3 linked regions of the Caenorhabditis elegans genome follow. The protein of the gene in region 1 purifies or fractionates together with the protein of each later gene. This does not show direct contact. Each region holds a gene or a part of one and is shown on either strand. Other genes may lie near its edges.

What was found. Proteins that work in one complex are often made in the same cells at the same time.
Region 2: the proteins of Y41E3.22 (region 1) and W04C9.6 fractionate together in Caenorhabditis elegans (co-fractionation; one large-scale study listed by BioGRID). This does not show direct contact.
Region 3: the proteins of Y41E3.22 (region 1) and gpx-5 fractionate together in Caenorhabditis elegans (co-fractionation; one large-scale study listed by BioGRID). This does not show direct contact.

Annotation. Positions count from the first base shown.
Region 1 is NC_003282.8:14,948,885-14,954,775, reverse strand, and holds Y41E3.22 (Peptidase), read right to left. Parts: upstream 4,067-5,891; 5' UTR 4,012-4,066; coding exon 3,889-4,011; intron 3,797-3,888; exon of another isoform or gene 3,776-3,796; intron 3,458-3,775; exon of another isoform or gene 3,436-3,457; intron 3,329-3,435; exon of another isoform or gene 3,308-3,328; intron 3,081-3,307; exon of another isoform or gene 3,060-3,080; intron 2,870-3,059; exon of another isoform or gene 2,835-2,869; intron 2,630-2,834; exon of another isoform or gene 2,609-2,629; intron 2,486-2,608; exon of another isoform or gene 2,462-2,485; intron 1,970-2,461; exon of another isoform or gene 1,949-1,969; intron 1,817-1,948; exon of another isoform or gene 1,796-1,816; intron 1,216-1,795; exon of another isoform or gene 1,195-1,215; intron 1,024-1,194; exon of another isoform or gene 1,003-1,023; intron 881-1,002; exon of another isoform or gene 859-880; intron 853-858; exon of another isoform or gene 852-852; coding exon 791-851; intron 741-790; coding exon 580-740; 3' UTR 550-579; downstream 1-549. Other genes in the region: Y41E3.1 (Sulfatase domain-containing protein), read left to right, coding at 60-354.
Region 2 is NC_003279.8:483,505-489,935, forward strand, and holds W04C9.6 (MFS domain-containing protein), read right to left. Parts: upstream 4,889-6,431; 5' UTR 4,487-4,888; coding exon 4,454-4,486; intron 4,399-4,453; coding exon 4,290-4,398; intron 4,224-4,289; coding exon 4,083-4,223; intron 3,346-4,082; coding exon 2,963-3,345; intron 2,116-2,962; coding exon 1,877-2,115; intron 1,773-1,876; coding exon 1,649-1,772; intron 1,499-1,648; coding exon 1,403-1,498; intron 1,355-1,402; coding exon 1,284-1,354; intron 806-1,283; coding exon 622-805; 3' UTR 535-621; downstream 1-534. Other genes in the region: W04C9.9 (Zinc finger protein), read right to left, coding at 366-376; W04C9.2 (MICOS complex subunit MIC13), read left to right, coding at 5,112-5,219, 5,264-5,329, 5,378-5,440, 6,196-6,267.
Region 3 is NC_003284.9:9,583,046-9,586,878, reverse strand, and holds gpx-5 (Glutathione peroxidase), read right to left. Parts: upstream 2,212-3,833; 5' UTR 2,185-2,211; coding exon 2,127-2,184; intron 2,030-2,126; coding exon 1,956-2,029; intron 1,907-1,955; coding exon 1,822-1,906; intron 1,404-1,821; coding exon 1,159-1,403; intron 952-1,158; coding exon 742-951; 3' UTR 535-741; downstream 1-534.

The DNA of each region.
Region 1 (5,891 bases):
GAACAAAATTTGATGAAAATTGAATTTTTTTTCTGAAAATGCCAATTTCCAATTTCCAGACTTCTCCCCGACAAAGGCCTACTCGCCTACAAAAACGTGAAAGATGCCGATGGTTTTGTGCCTGACCTCTCAGGTTCCACGAAAGCCGCATTCGCTCATTATCAACTGAAGCTGCAGACAACTCCCGGAGAAGCGATCTACGAAGTTACCCTGTTCTACGATATTGTACGAGATGAGGTGAAGCTGGATTTTGGATCAATGAGCCACGTGAACAAGTTTGGCGACACTCCGCATTGTATTATCGACAAAAATTATTATCTCGCGACGTTTTGTGTGTGTTATGATCGTGTTTGATGATGCCTTATTTTCTAAATTATTTTATTTTTTTCCTTTTTTTTCCGTTTTTTTCCCTACAGGTTTCCGGTGTACTTATAACATAATACACTTCTCCTCACCCATTCTTGTACAATTTCTCGCTCTGTTCTTATACATTTCCCCCACAGATCAGGTGCTTTTCTTTGTATTTGCCTTTGATTGCCTATTCATTTTAAAACAAAAGATTTTTATTGGAAATTTCAACTACTTATTCGGCCACCAAACATGTGAATCAATTCTCTTTTCGAAATTCTGTCCGATTTGTTCATTAACTTTGACATTGTTCAAATCTGACCATTTCACAATTAATGGAGCAATTGTTGGCAGTGACACCGGATTTCCTGGCTTTACTGATTTTGCAGGAGCTGGAAATTTTTTGAAATTTGGATTTTAAGCTGGAGATGAAGCTTCTCACCTAGTAATGGATGTTGTACGAGAGCCACGTCGGAGCCGAACCAGTCTTTTGCGTAGTTGTTCTGAATAGGCACATAATTTGATAGGAAAATCGTAATAGAAATTTTAATATTAATTTGAGATCTGTTTGAAACAGGATTTTTTTTTCAAAAAAAGAAAAAAATTACTGTTTCAACTATCTTATTAATTTCCCCTATTTTAAAAGGAAAACAGTTCCTTTGATATTTATTCCGGAAAAGTGTGCGCCTTTAATAAGTACTGTAGGCATTAATTTCCCATGTTCGAGGAATTTTTCTTTTATTTTTCAACGTGCAAATGCGCTCCACGGTCAATTGAAAGCGTTCCGCCTCCCAATAGTTGGGTCTCGTTAGGTATCTATCGGCAGAACAGTAAATTAAACACTTTTCAATTTGTTTTGCCGATTTGTTGTCTTTTTTATATTGAGTACTAATTTCTGAAATTTTTGAAACAGGAATTTTTTTTTCAAAAATCGAAAAGAAACTACATGTTGTTTTAACATTTCGAAATGCATTTCTTTATAATTAACCAAATTTCAAAAGGAAAACAGTTAGGTTCCCTAAAAACATGCTATTGTTGCAATTAAAAAATTGCAAATGTGCTCCACAGCCATTTGAGAACGCCCCCGCCCCCAACAGTTGGGTCTCGATGGGTATTTGTAGGTACTACAGTAAATTCAAACATTTTCAATTAATTTTGTAAGATGTTTCATTGCTAAAATAAACATTATTTCTCACTCGAAATCGATAAAATAAACAAATTATTTAAACAAACATTATTCACTTTCGAACGTCCAAAATTTGAAAAAAATACAATGGAAAACTTACAGTGCATTTTTTTCCACTTCTACGACTTTAAAGGCGCGCGCATTTATACAAAATGGTCCCGTCAAATCAATGGGATGCGCGTGGCGAGACCATTGCGCGAAAATGCGCGCGCCTTTCGTAGAAGTTGGAAAATATGCACTGTATTAACCAAATCAAGAATTGATGATAATAGATGTGAGATAATAGAGAGATGAAAGTTTTTTGATTTTGACAACTTTTTGAAACAGGAAATTTTTTTTGGATTTTTTTCATTGAAAAAAAAATCCACTGTTTCAACATTGTGATTAATTTTCAAAGTTTGTAAAAGAAAACAGTATTATGGACTTTTTAACTTGTTGAATATATTGTTTCTGATTTTTGCCCTAAAATACAATTAATCCTCATAGAAATTTTTTTGAGTACTAATTTCTGAAATTTTTGAAACAGGATGTTTTTTTTTCAAAAATCGAAAAGAAACTACATATAGTTTTAACATTTCGAAATGCATTTCTTTATAATTTACCCAATTTCAAAAGAAAAACAGTTAGGTTCCCCAAAAACTTGCTATTATTGCAATTTAAAAATTGCAAATGTGCTCCACGGCCAATTAAAAACGCCCCCGTTATCAACAGTCGGGTCTCGATGTGTATGTATTTGGCGGTAAACCAGTGAATTCAAACATTTTTAATAAGTTTTGGAAGATGTTTCATTGCTTAAAAAAACATTATTTCTCACCCGAAAATGATAAAATAAAAATCACAAAGACATTTTTTAAGAAAAAAGATTTTTCACTTTCGAACGCCAAAAATTTGAAAAGAAAACAATGGAAAGCTTATTAACAAAATCGATGAATCAATGACTAGATGATAATAATTATTTGAAAGTTTTTTGATTTTGGCAGCTGTTTGAAACAGGAAATTTTTTCGGATTTTTTAAATCAAAAAATTACTGTTTCAAAACTGTGATTAATTCTCAAGGTTTGAAAAAGAAAACACTACGATTCGCGTTTCTTCAGGTCCAAAAATACGTGTGCCTTTAAAGAGTACTGTAGTCATTATAATATTTATTGTTGTTGCAGGAATTTTCAGTGTTTAAATTTGTGTGGAACTTGCATTTTGAAATCTCCGTAAAAAGTTATGTGTGGTGAGATCAACTTTTTTTTGCAAAAAAAAAATTCAGTTTCACTATTTCCATTAGTTGAAGAAGGATTTCTATTTTTTATTTATTATTATAGAACGGACGAAACCGAAAAAAAATTAGCAATTTGTAGCTTCACATGTACATGAAATATGTCTGAACAAGCGGTTTTTTTATTTCTTGTGGTTAAAATAAGAAAATACAAATTTTATTTCAAATTAATTTTTTTCTTTAAAAAATCAATTTTCAAATTTCTGGAAACATATATATTTTCCTGTCATTAATTTAAAATTTAATTTTTTTATATGAAATGTTGTGGCCAAACAATCACTATCTTTAGAAATTTTGCTGTCAATTTAAAAATGGTTTGAAATAGTCAAATTTTGTGAATGCAAATAGATTTCCCTCCGGAAATAAAATTAACTATCAGGACATCAAACTATTTCAAAAATAAACTAAATCAAACAGCTTCGTATTGTTAAAAATTCATTTTTCAATTAAAAAAAATTACTGTTTCATGAAAATTAGTTATTAATTTTAATTTTGTCTGAATTCAATCAATATGTCCATAAAATTCATACTAATTTTTTCAAACTGAAAAATTTATTTTTAGAAAAAAAAATAGAAAATACTTTTCCATCGAAGCTTACAATAACTTTTTGTCAACGATTTTTTTGATTTTCAAAATTGTCTCCATGAACAGAAAACTATATCGAAAAAAATTAGTGCGTGGTTAAAAACTTACTGAAACAGATAAAATGTATTGAGAATGTTATAATTTCAAAATTTTTTCAAAATTCAAAATTTGAAATACTGCAATTTTTTGGTGCATTCAGTGTTGTACTACACATATTCGCACTTCAAAATATTTGGAAAAAATTATTTTCAATAACTATTAAAAATTTGAAACATTAATCTATGTCTTTAAATGATAGCCAACAATTTTTTGAAAAACGGCTAAAAATTAAAAAAAAAAACTGTTTCAGATTATTAGTAAGTTCATTATGTTAAGAAAAATTACTCAATTGGTCTCAATTGGCCATTGAAGACTAAAAAATAATATTTCACAATGCCCGACATTTTCCGGGGCCCTCGACTTTTCTATTTTAAATCGGTAACGGAACCGATGCAAACTAACATTTTTAAATGGAATATCCACGTGTTTGAACACATACGGGGAGAATTCCAAGTCCGCCGCATTGTCTTGTGCAAAAATTGAATTGAGTTGAAATAGAGTCAACTGGAGAATCAGTAATTTCATATTTAGACACAAATATATGAAGATTATGAAACAGAAAAATAATATTTTTCTGAGAAATAACTTTTTTGTGTGATGTTGATCACAGGGGCAGAAACAGAAGTGAACAGTGTAATAAGATAAATGTGAAACAGGAAACCTGTTTAGGTATACATTTATCATTGGGCAACATGCTATGGGAAATTGGAATTATTTTGAAGATTTGGTCATCCCCTATTAGTAGTGCACAGCGAGTTAGTTAAAATACGTTGAAGAAAACTGAAAAGTGCTATTTAAAAAACTTTTCACAAAATGAATTTTCAAAAATGAAGATTTGAGAAGGTAAATAGAAAAGTCGAGGGTTTTCTTAACATAATGAAAAGTTTTCTTAACATAATGAACTTACTAATAATCTGAAACAGTTTTTTTTTAATTTTTAGCCGTTTTTCAAAAAATTGTTGGCTAACATTTAAAGACATAGATTAATGTTTCAAATTTTTAATAGTTATTGAAAATAATTTTTTCCAAATATTTTGAAGTGCGAATATGTGTAGTACAACACTGAATGCACCAAAAAATTGCAGTATTTCAAATTTTCAATTTCGAAAAAATTTTGAAATTATGACATTCTCAATACATTTTATCTGTTTCAGTAAGTTTTTAACCACGCACTAATTTTTTTCGATATAGTTTTCTGTTCGTGGACACAATTTGAAAATCAAAAAAATCGTTGACAAAAAGCTTCGATGGAAAAGTATTTTCTATTTTTTTTCTGTTTAAATATGAAAAAAAGTATTTAAAAAAAACCCGAATTGATAAGCATATATCTCTTGATGAGGACCGTTTCAAAAGCGGGTTTTGGGTGGAATCTGCTCACAGTAATTATGGCTTTCGATTTCGTTGAAAATTTGGGTCTCGGTGTACTTCCTGATGTCTACACGATCGAAAGTAATAATAACTGATAATAACCGATAAGTCGTGGTCCAAGATGGGATTTTGGCGGATTTTTTGTACGCATTCTACTTGTCAGCAAGTTATCAAATGAACCCTTAAAAAATTGATAAAACATTAGTTGAACATTTTGAAGCTGTGTGAAAAACAGTCTCTCAGCAAGCTGATAAACAGACAATCGTATCGGTTGGGCGAACGGTTGCGAGTTTGGAAGGTCCGACAAAATTATCATGTTCAGCAAGTATTAGTACATATGTTCCGTGATTTTCAAAACAATCCCGTTAACATATCCTGAGATATGCGAAGTCAAAGATGACACCCTTGAAAAAAAGTGTTCCCCAACTCTTATCAATATCTTTGCAGGGGAGCATGGTAAAAATTCAATTTAAATTTTTCCCTGTACACAATCACGAGATGAGTACGTATGTCAAATTCCAGCTCCATAGGAGCAATCCCAAATTTTGACAAAAATTCGAAACTTTAAGACCCCTGTATGGGTGGTCCGACGGCCGACTCATGACATACCACCCATAGTGGAGAGAACATCAGGATGGGTGGGTGATACGAAAAAAAACTCAAAAACTTTCATCGTACAGTTTTTTTTTTCGCGCGATTTTCTAAAAAACGTCAAGCTTGCAACATCCCCATTAAAAAAGTGTTCCCCAACTCTTATCAATATCTTTGCAGGGGGGCATGGTAAAAATTTAATTTAAATTTTTCCCTGTACACAATCACGAGATGTGAAAGAGCGGCAGAAACAAGCATTGTAAAGTTTCAATGTTGCTAACTTTTATCAAGATAATGAAACAGATCACGTTTGTTTCTGCAAAATTGAAAATTGGAGCATTGAAAATATGTTACAAAAGAAATTTAAAAAATGACTAATTTTTCAAAAGTGATAGTTAATATTTTCAGACCACCTACTTCGTATTTTTTTCAAATGCAAACATTTG
Region 2 (6,431 bases), on another chromosome or scaffold:
TTTGCTCATTTCGAAAATTAAAAAAAACAACTCAATTGATAGTAAATTTTAAAATTAAAAATTATTTTTCTGGTTTTTTTTTCTCAATTTTTGCAAAATCAAAATTATAATCAATTTTTAATCCAGAATTCGTCAAGTGGCCTAGAATTCTACTGCGTGGCCTAGAAAATTCCACCAAAATTTAAATTTTCCAAATTGTAAAAATGCTCCAAAAAGTTGAATGGTGGCCGAGGTTTTTCGTTTTTCACTTTTCACAGCTACGGAAAAAAACTCGGCCACCAATAGTTTTTCCTAGGCCATGTTTCAAATGCCCTATTTCTATGTTAATTACAGTATTTTCTAGACAAGATTTTAAAAAAACTCACGAATAGCACATGGAGCTCTGACACTTGCTCCCACCAATACAAAATTCCGAATTTTTTACAAAAAACTGCAAAACTATAAGAATTTGTGGTAGAAATTGGGGCATTTACGTAATAATAATAATAGAAAAATGTCCGCAAATTTTTTTTCATAAATTTCATAGGGAGGAGGTAAGCTTCAGCTAGAAGCCATTCAATTTTATTGGGGCGCCGAAAATCTTCGGAACACTTTTACAATTTATACAGTAGTGTACAACTTTTACAACTTAATAATATCTTCAATACTTCCAGAATATTCTTCTTTTTCCTCCTCAATTGCCACGTCATCATCTTGTAATCTGGTCCATTTTGCTGGCGAGGCGTCGGCAAACAGGCAGAATATAGTATTTACGAAGAGAAGTAAGCCCGCATGCGCCAGGAAACAATTACGCCAGTCTGTGAATCTGAAAAAAATAATCTTGTCTTTTAGGGGACCTACGCCTGCCTGCCTACGTCTGCCTTGCAGGGGACCTTTGCCTACCTACTTGACTACCTTCAAGTGAGACCTATGCTGGTTTGCCTGCATTTTTGTCAGTGCCTTCTAGGCCTATGCCTACCTTACAAACTATGTAGGTCAACTGCCTGCTTTCAAGGTGGCCTAGGTCAGCCTACATGCTATCTACGTCTACCCCAATGTACCCTGTGCCTATCTACCTGCTTTTAATGCTATCTGCCTTTTCGATAGTCTTTTAGGGAATCTACGCCGGTCCAGCTCACATAGGTTATCTATGCCTATGCCTTCCTGCCTGCCTCCAAAGTGACCTACGCTTACCGTGTTTTTTTTTCTAGACCGTATATACCTACATGCCTGCCTTTAAGTTTACCTATGCCTGCCTGCATTCCTCATGCCTGCGTGCCTACATGAATACCCTAAAAACTCACGTATCATCAGTAACAATCATATTGACGAAAAACGGTTCGATGAATATCGTGCAAGCCCAGATGTTCATGATCTGGAAGAGAAATCGTTGGCCTAAAAATTTTCTCGGCCACCCCCTTACCTGCTGCATTGCGAAATAGGCGTACTGCTGGGAGTGCAACGTGGCACACTTGTTGAATCCCGCCGTATTGCACCCCATCACACTTTCGGCGCAAATCTGGAATGATGGAAGAGAATAGGAAAACTAGGCCATGGATGTATGTGCGCTATGTTGATAATCGGTTATTTTCAACGTGGATTATCAATTGAGCGCACTTGTCCCACTGGAAGAGTTTTCCTATCTAGGCCACCACCACCACCCACTCACCATTATAATAATAGCCAGCAAGTGTTTTTCCTGTGGAATAAATGCTAGAACGATGAAAAAAACGGCGGCCACGGCCAGAGCGATTGTGTTGAAAATTTTAGTTTTCAGAGTTTCTGAGATGAATCTGGAATATTGATTTTTGGTGGCCGTAGAGAGGAAAAACTCGGCCACTGATTTTTTTCACAATTATAAAATTATTTTTCCAGGAAAAACCCCCGAAAAACTCACTTAATATAATCACTAATAATTCCCGACGATAATTTCGTAAAAAATTGAAAAATAATGGGTAAGGCGGCCAAAAAACCGGACGAAAGTACGTCATAGTTCAAATAATTTTTCATATATTGCGGATTGAATTGGGATACCAATTGAACTGTTATCAAATCTCCAAACGATGCGATCCAACAAGCCCACAGGCTTAAACTTGTCAGAATATGACGGAATGGAAGATTTTTTGGCCGGGATACCTGCAAAACGAAAAAGTAACGGGCTTCGAATTTCCCCCCCCATGTTTTCAAATGGAAGAGGTGGCCGTGAATAAAGCTAACCTCGACCGGGGGTCGCGACTCGCGACAAACGGGAAAACTCAAAGAAATTTCGTACTGTCGCTACTTTTTTTGAGTTTTCCTGTTTGTCGCAGGTCGCGACCCCCGGTCGAGGTTCGCTTTTTTCACGGCCACCTCTTCCATTTGAAAACATGGGGGAAATTCGAAGCCCGTGAAAAGTTAGGCCATGCAATGCGATGTGGTGGCCGAGGTTTTGAAAACTCGGTTACTCTCATGTAAAAAATCTTGAAGTTGAAGCAAATTTGCGTACATGAAACCCATTTACCTTGCTAGCAGTTTTAGAAAAATTTGGGATTTTCTCATACTAATGAGGGAACGTCTTAATTGTCGACAAATTGCGTACCCCGAGGAACCCACTAATTCAGTCCTAGGTTTAGGCATAGGCTAAGGCATAGGCTTAGGCGTAGGCCTAGGCTTAGGCTTAGGCTTACACGTGGTGTCAGAGTGCCTCATTTCGGCTTGATCTACGTAGATCTACAAAAAATGCGGGGGAAGAGCCGCAGAGTTTTCTACTGATTTCGCATGGTTAAGAGTGTGCTGACGTCACATTTTTTGGGGCAAAAATTCCCGCATTTTTGGTAGATCAAACCGTAATAGCACAGCCAGGCACCACGTGCGCTTAGGCTTGGGCTTTCCGTAGTCCTTCGGGCGCGTTTTTCTCAAAAATGATACGTGGTACAATTTCAGGTTTTTTTCCGCTCCAAAATCTAGTTATAATTTGTGTCCGGTAGAGCGCGTTTGCACTCACTTTCTTTCCCGATTTCCCTTCTCGAATCCTCTCCAATTCCTTCTCGCCAACCCAACTGTGCTCACTCGGCGAGCACTTGAAAAATAGGAAAAACAGCGAAAAAGTGACCAACGATACACCGGCGTGCACATAGTAAACCGACGTCCATCCACCAGACGAAGAGCATAACCATCCCGAAACTGGCATTGTAAATATATTTGAAAGTTGTGTATTTCCGGTTAATAGGCCAATGAATACTCCGTGCTCGTATGGGGTCGCCCAATTTGCTGTAATTGAGCCAGCGAGGGGAAATGTGGCTGAAAATGCCATTCCTTGACAAATACGGGCGGCCACAAACCATCCGTAGCCAATGGTACTTGCCAACGGGATAAGGGCTGTTGAAACTGGAAAAATTGAGTGCAATACATCATATTTGACGCGCAATTTTAAAATTTAAAAAATGGAAACGCGCTCTAATGATGCTTGGTGTACTCCTCTCGGACAATAAATGTCAATAATTTTTGAAAAATCGATAATTTTTTTTTAATTTCAGAAAAATTCGTGAAATCTGTTTTATTTTGCGCGTAAAATATGATTCTTAAATACTTAATTCAGTATTTTACGCACGTGGTATCAGAGTGTCTCATTTAGGCTTGATCTACGTAGATCTACAAAAAATGCGGGAGAAGAGACGCAGAGTTCTCAACTGATTTCGTATGGTTAAGAACGTGCTGACGTCACATATTTTCGGGCAAATAATTCCCGCATTTTTTGTAGATCAAACCGTGATGGGACAGCCTGACACCACGTGCTTACGCGGAATTTTTCACAATTTTTTGTGCTTCATGCACCATGTTTTTGTTTCGAAAAATCAGATTATTGTTTTGCGCGTCAAATTCAACGCCCACTGTGCAATACACCATATTTGACGATCAATTTCAAAAATTTTGTATGCTTTCGATGCATGCTTTTTGGGGTACTGTAGCTTTGAAAATACGCATGCACTGGATCTGACGACAAAATGCACAGTTTTTATAAAATTAGTCTATAGAAATTAGTCAGTTTTCTCGAAACAAATAAAAACTACAGAAAACTCGGCCACCGATATTTTTTTTTTTCGCGGCCACGATTGACGTCATACCTCCCGAAATAATTCCGGCGACAATGAAGACAGGTTTATGCGGCAAATGTTGAAAAGAAATGGAAAATGGAATCGAGGCGGCAAGACTTCCAATAGCCACACACGATTGAAGAAAATTCGACTCTGATTTGGTATAGTTCACTGAAAAAATCAACTATTTTGGCGGCCGCCAATGGAAAAACTCGGCCACCGAATTAAAAAAAAAACCTTTTGAAGTTGAAGTACTATTATCATCTTGCATACAAATTTTTGTAAAATTATAAGTATTCATATTTGAAAGAATCGAGGTCAAACACAGTGTGGCACATATTAAAATCTGCAAAAAAATCGTGAAAATTCAATTTTCCGGGGGTTTTGAGTTCAAAAAGTACCAGAAATCGGACAGGAACCGGCGAGTTGACCATGGTGCATCAGAAACCGGAATTTTAAATAAGTAAAAAAATTTATGATGCTCGTGGTGATAACGAAAAGTGCAGTGATCAATTTAAGGGAAATACTGCTGGGGGATTAAACGTTGACACTGTCAACTTGATAGTGTTAATTTGATCAATGCTTTGTACTTGTTTTTTGCAGGAAAAATTCTTTGAAAATTGCAAGACTATAGTATAGTCTGAAAATTTGATGAAATCTAAAACTTTAATAAATACCGTTAATTATCATTATTTTTATGAAATTTTAATATAATCTACTTAAAATTTAATTTTCTAGGCATCTGTGAGCTTAAATTTTCGATTATCCCTCGCCAAATTAAAGATTTGCAGACTTTTAAGCTTATAAGCTTATTTCAGTGAGAGAGAGCATTGTGAGAAGAGAAACGCAGACGAGGCTGGCGCGTTTCTCGTGCTCTGACGCGAGTCTCGATTTGCTTGCGCATTTCTCGTGCGCGCGACGTTCATTTTATTTTTCCGATTTTTTTTCAGTTTTTCTGAACTTTTCTTCTTGAATTTGTGATTTTTTATTTATTTTTCACGTCTTGTTGCAAAATAACTGATTTTTCACACAAAATATTCGAATTTTCAGGTCGGCAACATGGGATTCTTGTGGAAAACTGCAAAACTCGGAATTAAAGTTGGACTCGTCGCCGGCGCCGTCAAACTGTCAATCGATAACGATATTTGGTCGACTAACAATGTTAAAGTATTAGTTTTCCCCCGTTTTTCCACGAAAATTTTCATTTTCAGGGCAGCGAACTGTATCAAAAGCTTAAAAAGTACATTCTTCCCGGCACCGTCGTCTTTCCAGAGCAGGTTTTATCGATTTTTTCTCTGAAAATGCAATTTTTTTCTTATTTTCAGCTCCCAACAGTCGAAGATGTGCAGCTGAAGGCCGGTGGAAAGTGGAACAGTGCTGTTGACTCGGTAGGCTGCATTTTTGAGAGGAAACACGGAAAAATTGCTGCGAAAGTTGGAAAAAAGTCCTGGAAAATGGAGATTTGGCGCCGAACGTTCAAGAAATTCCATAATTTCAAAAATCTATCTGAAAAATTGAAAAATATAAATTTTCAGTCATTTTTAGTCAAATTTCAGAGCTAAACGTCGAAAAAAGTGCCTAAAACTAGGAAAAATATGACAAAAAGACACAAATTTTGGAGAAAATTGCTGAAAATAATGCAAAACACTTTTTTTCACAAAAAGCGAAATTCAAAAAAAATTCCACGTCAAAAATTAACCAAATGCAAGTACGCTCCATCGCACTTTTTTCCAATTTCTGACTCGAAAAGTCTTAAACTTCTGGTTTTGTAGGAAAGATAATGCAAAACGCAATTTTTAGTCCAAAATTCAGAGAAAATTCTGAAATTGTTTTTAAAAAAAATGCAAGCACACTCCATGGCACTTTTTTTTCAAAATTTCGCGTAGAAAATTACAGACATTAGCAAAATTCCGACGATTTCGCTGCGAGACCAGAAATATTGTAGGAAATTCAAACATTATCCGAAAATAATGCAAACGCGCTCTATCGCACTTTTCTCCAAGTTCCCACTCAAAAAGCATAGAAAATACCTGAAATTGCCGTTTTTTTTCACCGGAATTTCAAATTTACGCGATTTCGCTGCGAGACCCAAGCTAGTGCAGTGGAGCGCATTTCCAACAATTTCAAACTCAATTTTTTTCAGGTATTCACCACAATCGAGAACGTCCCATCAAGCGTGAACACAGTGGCCAATCGACTCATCAATAATAAATAAATTCCCCATAAAAATTATCGATTTATCGATTTTCCCCCCGAATCCTCGTGTATTCCTTCGTTAGAATGTACTTTTTCCCTCCTCATTTTCTAGAAGTATTTGTGTGTGTGCTCTATGAAAAAATTTGCAATTTTTGACTTTAAACGGACGGTGCATTATATTAT
Region 3 (3,833 bases), on another chromosome or scaffold:
TATTGCAACCGAAACAGTTTCACCACTCATACCTGTGAACTAATCACTTAGGGTGAACATAACAAATTATGGAACAAAAGGGTGAAAAATTCCTTTTTGTATTTGTATAATACCACACATAAAAAATAAGTGTAACTTTCATTTATATATTCATTCAAACTGGACGTGATATTTGTTTATTTCTTCAGGCGGATTTAAAAACTATTAACGTATTCTGGCTAAAAAATTTGCTTTTAAAAATATAAGGTTATGATAGACAGGTATATCAGGAACAGGAATAGGTATAGAGATATCTTTTTTATCTCGAATGTTTTTGCTGAACACATTCGTTTTTAATCATGCAATTTAAAACAGTATTCTGTTTGTATAACAAAGCTAGATTATCCAATTTTGCTTCCAGTGTCAGTTTATCCAATATATGCACTGTGTACTGAAAAAAATAGCAGAATAATTCAAATTTAGTAGTAAACTCTTTTCGATTAATGTATTTGTGCGAGCAATTTTTTTTTTAATTTTTCCATGAAAAGTATGATTAATGTGATATTCTACTTTATTTCGACGGAACGTAAATACAGGAACGGAGAAAAACCCGGAGGCAATTAAAACGTGGAGAAGCACAATATCTTATGATATTCGCTATACAAGAACAAAGCAACCCCTGATTGACATGTGGGTCGGTACTACGAAAGTATACACACACATTGGAATGAAATCAATGATTGTCAATTAGTTAATAACCAATTAATTAGCTGGCTCAGCAAGGAGTTGCTCAATGAATGGAGTGACAACATCTCCGTGGCTCCAAGCAGTTGGGTGGAAGCGGAATCTTGGTTGTCCATTTCTGTCAATAAGGAACTTCTCGAAGTTCCATGTGATATCAGAAGCACGAATTGGGTTGTACATCAATTCATCAGTCTTTCCAATTTTGTCAACAGTTTGTGGGCAAGACTCCTGCAATGTAAAATAAGATGAATGATTGCCGAATGGTCGAGAATGTAGAAGAGACCATTGGCAGTGTAAACTGAACACAATGCCATTCTTTTGTTGTGTTCAATTCCTACCCCCGAAACATATTATTTTGTTGTTTGACCTTGGTGTAAAGAAACGAATAAAGGAAATGACCCCCTGACTAGTTGGCGGTAATGGTCTAAAACTGACCTTGACAAACTCGTAGATTGGGTGTTGGTTGTCTCCGTTGGTGTCAAGCTTTCCATAAATGTGCAAGTTCTGGTGTGGCTTCCATCCGTTTCCAGGACGAACATACATTATTCCATTCATCAGTTCATGGTTCTCAGCTGGCTCTTGCAAATAGAATTGATTGCATGGGAAGGCAATGAGAGTAAATCCTTGGGATTGGTACTTCTCGATAAGGGGGTTGAAATCCGTGTATTGCTGGGTGTACGCTAGAATTGTTTCAATTTTCATCGTTGTTTATAAGGTTCAAATAGACATTGATAAACGACCGAATGGCGTCGAACGTGTTAAGCAATCAGCCATATGTTCCATCGGTAGAATTGTTTTGGGAAATGTTTCTATCTCTTTTTAACATTCGAAAATCGAAAAGAATCGTGATAATCTATATACTAAAAAATCCTGAGTATAAAAATGGGTGTGAGACAATTTTTTAATAAATTTTTTCTCTGAAAACATGTTCGTTATGATATAGTCTATCTGTTTCGGCCAAGTTTTGGAGAAAAGTGATATGGTTTGGGTTGCATCTTTTGCAAAAGCCGGAAATGGGATGAGATCTCATGAATCTTATAATCTTCTAAATCTTCTAAACAAAAAAAAGAGAGAGAGAGATATTATAAGACAACTCACCGCAAAAAGTAGCAACGTTGACCATGAGAAGCACCTGTCCACGGTATTGACTAAGGTCTGTGTATTCTCCTTGTAGTGTTTCTACCTAAACCAATTTATGGATAACAAAAGCTCCTTTCAAATTTCAAATTTACCTGGAAATCGTAAATAGATTGGTTTGTGTCTTTACATTGACTCCAGCGAGTCGTTTCGTCAACCATTTTCGGTCCTGGAAATGTTGATATTCGGTATTGGAAAATTGTATCCAGTAGTTCTATTTTCAAACTGCTGAGATAAAAAATTATGATGAGAAACTAGAAGCAAACCTGGCTGAGCAGCGACGAACGCAAAAAGAGCCGCAAATGTGAGCTGCCAAAGTGCCATTTTCGTATCTCTCTCGATTCTACAACTTCGAGACTGATGACTGCCACCTATCACCCATCCACTTTTATACCCATCTATACACCTTCTGTACAGTATCCATTAAGTGGAGAGTTGCTAGAGAAAAAGAGTAGGCGGAATATGGAAGTTTGTGGATGCGCAGAGATGTTGAGAAGAAGGGCGTGGTGGAGATGAAGAGAGAGAAAAGGAAAATATGACGGGAGAGTGATTGAACAAACATCTGAGATGTCTAGAGTTAGTATTTGAGCTTCCTGAAATGGATACTAGTACAGATAAATACCCAGAGAAATCGTTCCTGTTATTGTTATTTCCACCAATACTTCGGAACTGTTTTGCTTTCAGAAATTCCAAAGTAGTGAAAATATATAACAAACAAACAGAACTCAATACTTCTCAAAATCTGTTATTTGCTTTATCTTCTTCTCAATTTTTATTAGCTGTTTACTGTGAAAATTTCAAACCTAAGGAAAAGCAAATGGATCTATTTCAGTAAAATTTCACAGAAACGATTTGGAAAATAAATATCTATAGTTTTGTTTACCAACTGTTTTTTAATGCATTTTTCAAAGTTTGAAAGAAAAGAAAGATGAAGCAACAATTGATGGATGACTTATGGATATTTATCCCAAATCAATGTCAACATTAGCATTCACTCGGAATGACAAAAAATTCCGGAAAAAAGCGAGAATAATCGGGAATGATGGATAGTAATTGTAAAGAACTTATCGCTTTTTCTCTTTTTATTGTGATGACCAAATGTCCGATTTCACTTTCTTTTCCTGATCAATAATCTTTTTTTTTCTGATACATAAAAGATGAATAAGTATTGCTTTTATTGGATTGGTGGTGGCTTGTGAAGAGTTTAAAAACTTGGAACGTGTTTTAATGAATGAAACAAGAAAAAAGAACTCGATTAAACAATTTGGTTATTTCTCAATTATGTTTTGTTGAGATAGTTTGAATCACAGATTGATAGAGCTTCAATTCAAAATACTATTTACTATATGTATATATTTGTTTATTTATCTAGTTGTAAAGGTATAATCAAATCAAAGAGAAATACGATATAAATGATCTTGAGATAAAAAAGATAAAGTGACCAAATCTTGACCGAATGCAAATTACAAAAACATATATTTACGCTGGAAATTCAGAGCTCATACACTGCAATAGACAAAAATGATTTTGTGCACTTCTGGGTTTTTTGAGCCAACTTCTGTACAACAATTCGAGTTAATTAGAGATATGATTTTGAAAATATTTCAGATCGCACGCCAGCTCCACCAGTCTAGTTTGGCCGCTTTCAATGATGTATCATACATTCAACATTTGGCACACATGGCAACTGTAGTTCAAAGTTTTTGAGTCATCTGTGTTTTTTTCATAAAATTGAATGATCTATCACTGTGTTTCCATTCTCCATCCAGATGGTATTTAAAATCCTTGAACACTTCACAATTAAATTTTTGATATCCTGAAATTCGTCATAAGTTGTTTTTCTCATTTCCACATTGAATTTCTCAAATGTTTTGTTCCATTATTCTCTAATGTTTCTATTCCTCAAATTCAAATAAACCTTGGAGTGTCAATGCAAAGGGGTTAACAACTCGTCAACCCCCACCTCCCCTTTC